2 linked regions of the Notamacropus eugenii genome follow. The protein of the gene in region 1 interacts with the protein of each later gene in a pairwise test. Links are inferred from orthologs where the notes say so. Each region holds a gene or a part of one and is shown on either strand. Other genes may lie near its edges.

What was found.
Region 2: the proteins of MBIP (region 1) and BFSP2 interact in binary tests that used the Homo sapiens proteins (3 or more experiments, as listed by UniProt). The two-hybrid records come from large-scale screens. The link is inferred for Notamacropus eugenii from reciprocal best matches to the Homo sapiens genes MBIP and BFSP2.

Annotation. Positions count from the first base shown.
Region 1 is NC_092872.1:329,005,646-329,009,397, reverse strand, and holds the start of MBIP (MAP3K12-binding inhibitory protein 1), read left to right. Parts: upstream 1-932; 5' UTR 933-1,003; coding exon 1,004-1,129; intron 1,130-3,752. UniProt on the Homo sapiens protein: Inhibits the MAP3K12 activity to induce the activation of the JNK/SAPK pathway. Component of the ATAC complex, a complex with histone acetyltransferase activity on histones H3 and H4.
Region 2 is NC_092874.1:41,694,858-41,698,609, reverse strand, and holds the start of BFSP2 (phakinin), read right to left. Parts: upstream 2,489-3,752; coding exon 2,030-2,488; intron 1-2,029.

The DNA.
Region 1 (3,752 bases):
AAAGCAGGGAAAGGGATTACTTTCCCTCCCCTTTTTAGTGCTGGTGTCCTTGCTAAGAGACACACCTTAGCTTACATTTACTATCCAATATGATTCCTAAATTTTCATTTCTCCAAGCCAGACCATAACCTGGTTATTTTATGGATACTTACAAAAACTGTTCTAATGTTCTGGATTTGCCAGTTTTCATCTCAAGTTTCTCTCACATCCCAAAATAAATGAGTGAATGGAGAAAAGGTACAGAAGCAATCTAGGCCCAAGATGCAAGGTCACTGATTGTGTTAAAAGACGGCAAAACTACCATCCCTTTCCTATATAAATGATACTCAAAATCTGAAAAGGGCAAAATGTGAAAAGTGCCCCATATTCTAACATACTCCCCTCAGGGCAAAATGTGCAGTCCCTGCAAATTACTTGGAGTACACCAGAGCATCTGTGGCCAGAAGAGGATGCCCAGAAGAATTCCAAGGGAAAGTACAAGCTGTTACTCCCCCTGACTCCGTAGCCAATCATCTTCAAGATTCTCCTCCTCTGACCAATCAGGAATTGCTGTCCCTTAAGGAAGAGGCCAGTGCATATGTCGCAGAAAAAGGGAACCGAGTGTATCTCCACCTCCCATCAACAAGTTGCATCACTTGCCACGTAAAAACATGAGCCAATTCAGTCCGAATGTTTTAGTAAACTAAGACAAAAACAATACCCCATAACTTTTAACACGTAAGATACCACAAAAGGTACTACAGTTTAGACTTCTGCCTCTCACAGTCCAAGCACAGAATGACTGCAAGGAAGAAGACTGGGCAGGAGTGGGCTGGAAAAGCTGCTTCTTCCAATCACCTGATTGGTCCTCCTGTTTGCCAGTCAGATGGAAAGGGGTGGAGCCCCAGAACACCGCGCTTAATGTAAGGACCGCTTCTGATGACGTCATTATAACGCGACGCAAACTGAAGCGCGAAAGGGGGCGGGGCTCAACAGGAACCTCCGCAGCAGTTGGGGAGGTGTCATGGCTGCTCCTGTGGGGCTATCGGGGCACCCCCGAGGCGTTGACAAGAACCCGGATCAGAGCTTCAGCTTCTACCGCGAGGTGCTCGTTGGTTTCCTCCACTCCCTTCGCACCCTGACAGGGCAGGTAAATGACGGCGGTCTCTCTCTCTCTCTCTCTCTCTCTCTCTCTCTCTCTCTCTCTTTCTCCCTCTCTCCCTCTCTCCCTCTCTCCCTCTCTCCCTCTCCTCCCCCTCTCCTCTTTCCCTCCCTTCTCTCTTCTCCCTTTCTCCTCTCCTTTAACCAGAAATGGGGGTTGACCGAGGCTCAGAGCTTGGGGGCGCTTTGGGGATTCCCGCCCCAACTACAAGACCATTAGGGTTCCACCGGGACTTCTCTGCTGCTACAAACCTGCTCAGATTTCTCTTAACACTCATTTGAGGGGTGACTTAGGGGGATTCCCCTTTCTTCTCCCCCCACCCCCCCAAAAAAAGAGAAAAAGAAAGGCAGCGAGCGAAGAAGTGGGCAAGAGAACCAGGCCTGGAGAGGAGGAAGGCGGCTAAGCCCCCTCGGTGGGGCCGGCCGGAGCGGGGAGCTCAGGATCGGGCGTCTGAGGTGGAAGAAGCTTCGCTTAAGCCTCTGTGAGGAGAAGGAACCCGGAGGCAGCAGAAGCCTCCTCTCTGGGGAAAGGTTGTTCCCCCGCTATTTTTGTGATTTGATATAATGAATACTACTTTTGTTTACGTTTTTTTTTGCCTAGGGAGTCATACAGCGTTTATTAAAAAAAATAATAACTTATTTACTCATCTTGAGACTAGGATACTTTTGATGCCTCTTGGGTGTAGTTAAGACGAATTGGGTAATGGAAGACCACTTAGTCGCGGTGTTTGGCAATCATTTTTACTTAAAAATGCAGAATTAAAAGCCGGTTATTTATTTACATTTTTAAAACTCATGTTTAAAAGAAAAAAATTAAGCACTTCTTGTAACCATCTGTTCAATTCCTACTAGGAGATCTTGGCGTATTTAAATTATAATTATATGACCTAAATAGAAATTGGACATCAGTCTTTTTTTTTGGTTAGTGACCTTTCATTAGCATAGAAAACATTTTAGCTGTTAAAAACAAATAGAAGTCTCCCAAGTACTGGACCCGATAACAGTTGCCTTAATAATCAGTGTGATAAACTAAGTTCATAAAATAATCCAAGCTTCCGATTTGTGATGGTAGCTTTGTTCTTCTGATTATTTTTGCAAAGTGTGTTTGTGTGGGGTAAGAAAAAAATTCACTTTTCTTTTTATCCATCCAGAGTTTGTGATATTCAGCCAAATTTCGAGCAGTTATTTGTGGAAATCATTAAGCAGCATGCGTAGTCAGACTGTTTTTTTCAAGTACTTGATAATTATACTTTTTAAGTTTTTGAAACGATATGACTTAAAAAAGAATTTTATTTTAAACGTTAACATTTTAGGCCTTAGCCATTCTAACTTCTTTTAAACAAAAGATAAAAACAAAGCAGTTAGAGCGTAATATTGTGAATTAAGATGGGTTATTATAAATATGAAATTACACAAAATTCTGTTATTTGCAAATGAGATAATTTTTTCGTATGATAGGTGGAATTTTAAAAGAAAGTTCATGCAGTAAATTATATGAAAGTTAGTGCAGTGAATTATGTAAAAGTTTTCACATTCCAGAGATATTTTCGAAAGCATATTTCCTGCAGATTATATTTTTATGTGTTTTCCAGAATCTCGGTTCCTGTATTGTCCCTTGAGTAAAATTTACATATTATACGTCACTGTCAAATGTGTAAATATTATTACTTGTATCTGACACGAAGAAGATGATATCAATCAAAAATTAGGTCAGTTAGATGGTTAATCAAAATATACTGACCACATTGATAATTGTCTGTGTTTTTGAGTTATTATTTAGAGATTTGAATAAAAGCAAAAGTACTTATAGTATCACTTTAGGTCATTATTTGCTTTTGCAAGAAGCTAAATCATAAAATTTGCATGGTCATCTTTGCTTAAGGTTAGTGTTTATGATGTTCCTAATTACTGGTATTGTTTGTTAGGGAACACAGTTTTAAATGTGTTAATGTACATGCTAACTCAAGTCGTGAATATTCTTAATTTTTAACTTTATAGTTTGTACCCATTAGCCCTTTGACTATTTTTCGTTTGTTTTGAACTTGAATATTTTAGTGCTTTTATTAATTTCTCTGCAGTGGCAAAAAAAAAGGGGGGGTCCTATCAATGAAAGGCTAATAAAGGTTTTGGAGTCAGTCAATTCTTACATTTTCTATAGTACCAAATGTTTAAATTAATCTTGTTAATTAAGGTTACAGTGAATAGTCATTTTTTTTTAGTTGAAATTAAAATTACCCTTGTATTTGAGTGAAGGATTACATGGGGTTTTTTTAGATTCTTTTTTTAAAAATGAAAACAATTACATTGAATTGAAATCTTAATGCTTTTATAATAAAATTAATATAACCTTCATTCTCTACAAAAATTTATTGTTTGGACTTCATGGATTCATTACCAAGTAAGGTGCTTATATTTACTGTAATCAGATTTTTTGGTAAGATGTACAAATACATCAATTCAGTGAATATATTAAAGGTTTGTTATCTGAAATCTCTTTATATGACATTTTAGAAAATACACATTGAGATTAATTCACACGTCATTGCCTCATATTTCTTTCTATATCTCTGGAATAGACTTTTAAAAGTTAGAACCACAATCTAAATAACTAG
Region 2 (3,752 bases), on another chromosome or scaffold:
GGGGGGGGGGCATTAATATCAAGAGAGTTTGGAGAGGTAGGTTGGCTCCAGATTTTGGTATCAGGCCAAGGACTTTGTATTCTATTCTGTAGACAATAGGGAGCCAAGAGGTTCAGAGGGAGATGATTTTGACAGTTGTGTAGAGCATTGACAGAAATGGATCTCTGTAATTGGCATATTGACTTAGAAAACCCCAAATTCATATTATTCATGTTGAATTCTATTCTTATTTATTTTGTTAAACTTTTCCCAATTACATTTTCGTCTGGTTCAGGTTGCACTGGAGAGCTGTGTTGGTGTGGGCTGAGTCTGCCACCTCTGGTGTAGAGGATAGATCAGAAAGGGGAGTAACAGGAAGAAGGGAGGTCATTGAGGCAAGAGAGGGGCAAGGACCCGAATTGGGATAGTGACCCAATGAGGAGAGAGAAGGTGGTGGACACAAGAGAGGCGTGGGAGTAGAAGCACTGAAGACTAAGCAACTTACTGGATATGGTGGATGAGGGAGAGGGAGGAGTGGAAGCTGACTCAGTGGAGATGAATTTTAAGAGCTAAGAGGATGGAAGTGCTCTCAACCAAAAAAGGGGGGGTGGGAAATTTGTTGAATTTAATATCAATCTAAGAAAAATAGAATTAGGAAGATTAGTCTGCTGCAAAATGGGACAAGAAAGAAAGGACAGAAGGAATAATAATAACTGACATTTACACAGCACTTAAAAATTTAGGAGCAAAGATAATGAATTCCTTTTTTGGAAGGGTTGAGCTAGAGATGTCTACGGGACATCCAGGAGGAGACAGTCAATAGGCAGTTGATCCTGGGCGACTGGAATTCAAGAGGGGATTAGGGCTGGATCGATAGACTGGATAAATACTCGCTGACTGATGGGCCCATTACAAGCTTGTGTCTATACATGATTGAAACAATAATCCATTTAGAAAGGAAAATCAAACAATCTGGCTGCTTACTGCAGTACAAACCAAAATGAATAGTGATTGGCTGAATTTGGGGCTTTTCTACCTGTTGACTGGCCATCCTAGAAGAAATTAAGGCAAGGCTACCTATGCTTGCTGACTTAAAAGATGGTGTGCTACTGCTTTCCTACTCACTTCTTTGACACTATTTCCCAACTGGCCCAGTTTTTTCTTTTCAGAATAATGCTGTGTGAGCAAACACTCTACTAGCTCTTTCAACATCCCATGACTGTCCTGACCCTCACTTGTCTCCTTAAGCTGCCCTGCATTGGCTAATCTTTGCCCATCCTCTGTCCTCCAGCAGAGGGAAGAAGGAAGAAAATCTTTCATCTGTGTCTTTGTATTCTCAGCATCTGAACTATTCTGAGTGAGGGAATCAGTAGTCAGGCTTGTGCCTTAGGAAGATTATTTGGGGTACTGGTGAAGGATGGATTGGTGAGGGGAGAGACCAGTTAGGATGCTGTTCTAATACTCTAAAACAGTTGTGATGGAGACAGTAGGGGCAATGTGGAGGAGATCAGAGGTATAGTCATATACTTTATGGAAATCCTTCTTTTTTTTAAGAGGGGAGATGGAGACCAGACCTATGACTTTATTGGTATAAGGAATTCTCAGGGAAGAAACCTCCTCTACCAATCCAGGTCAGCACCTCCTCTGCAACTTCTCAGAGGTTATGACTTGCCCAGAGTCACATAGATAGTAGGTGTCAGAGGTTGGATTTGAACCCATGCCTGCCTGATTCCGAAACCAGCTTCCAATCCACTGTACAGGCTACTTCTCAGTAAATGTAGAATGAGGATGGGGCAGTAGAGTATGAAATCAGATAAATAGTTTAAAAAAATATATATATATGTAAATAGATTTGTTCATTTGTATATGGATGCAGTTTTTCCCAGATGGCTTGGCTCCAGCTTTCCCTTCCTTCCAGTATCAATGCCTGAGGTGCTAGGTAAGAGACACCAAAGGACTGTGTTGGTGGTGGGTGTGCTTCCTTTCCCAAGCCTTTTGGCCCCAGGGAAGCAGGGTCTGACCTCATGAGCCACCAGCTTGACTCACTCACCTGATGGTAAATGCTCTCCCAGGTCTCCCGCAGGGCTCCCCAGTTGCTGATGCTGGAGGCTTTCTTCTCTAAGTAGACCCGCAGATGTTCCTCTAGCTCCCTGTTCACCTGCTCCAAGGCTCGGACCTTCTCAATGTACTCTACCATGCAGCCATTCAGGGACTCAAAGAAGATGCCTCTGTTCTTTTCCAGTCCTGGGCTCAGAGCGAGGGCTGTGGATGAGCTCCTCAGACCCTGCAGAAAGACGCTGCTGATGCCCAGAGCCCGGCGGGACACTCGGGTGCCCAGGCTGCTCACTCCTCCAGTTGGCACTGACCCCACATACACCCCTGGGGGCCTGGGGAGGCTGCCTAGGTTGTTCCCTATAACACTGACCCGGCAGCCTGAGGCCCCTGGACTGTCAAGGCTGGTTGAGGAGTGGGACCCCAAGAACGAAGACCGACGCCTTGGGAAGGGCATGTTGGCACTGGAGCCTGTTGGGCACTGCCTCTCCCTTCTCTCATCCCCTGGCCCGAATGAGGCAATGATTTGTTGGAGGGGGCATTGTTTCTTTGTTTTCTGCCCCTCTGCCTCCACCCCCTCTGCCCCTGTTGCCTCTGGAAAGTTGTCAGCTCAGGGTCCTGGCCCCATTGTTCTGGGCCTTCCATGGCCTTCCTCATTCAGGGCAGCTGAAAGGAGATGCTTCTGGGACTAGGGCCTCTGCATAGCCAGACAATGAAGCGCTCCCCGGGCACTGGGTTGTGTCCATTCACTCATTCTCTGCCATGTCAGGACTTCAGGGATGTCTGATTTTTCTAGATAGCTGGCCCCTGGCTTTGGGGAGAGGGCAGCTTGGATTTGAGTTTGGATGGAAAAAAATGGGCCTATTTTCCATTTGTAGAGGGTACCAAGCCCTTTCACATCTAGGGAAACAAGGTTCTAGCTTCACAGATCTGGATGTCTCAATTACCTGAGCTCTGGAGTCAGAGGAGCTGAGTTCAAAATCCTGCCTCTGACACTTTGGGTCATAAATCTATGGAAGAGATATGAGAGGCCATCCCACCCTTTCATTTTTTCAGCTGAGGAAACAGTCCTGAAGAGCTGATGTGGTTTGTTCAGTGTCCTAGACGTAATAAATGGAAGAGCTGGGGTTAGAGTCCAGCCCCTCTGACTCTACATAGCAGTTTCCTCCAGATCATGTCACCTCGTCTATATCACTTCCTCTCCTCAGGCCTCAGTTTACTAATCTGTAAAATGAAGAGGCTGAACTAGATGACTCTGAATCTATGATCCTACGACTGGAAGTTAGAAAGAGACTCAGAGATCTTCCAGTCCAACCATTCTCATTTTACAAGCAAGGTAGTTGTGTGTGGGTCAAGGTTACAAATCAAAAAACTGTAAATATGAAAAACTGGAATTCAAACCCAGGGCTTCTGACTTCAAACCCAATGTTGTTCAGTTGTTTGAATCATGTCTGACTCTCTGTGACCCTATTTGGGGGTTTTCTTGGCAGAGATCTTGGAGTGGTTTGCCATTTCCTTCTCCAGCTCATTTGGCAGGAACATGTTCCTTTGTTGCCAAAGAAGACCATGCCATTAGAGATCCTGGGCCATCTCCAGTCATCCTGAGGAAAATCAGGTCACTGGATTCAGATGGCTCTGGAGGAGAAGTGAGGCCGGTGACCTGCACAGCCCTCCCTCACTCAAAACAAAGTCAAGTGCAAGTCATGTCATCATTTCTCTGA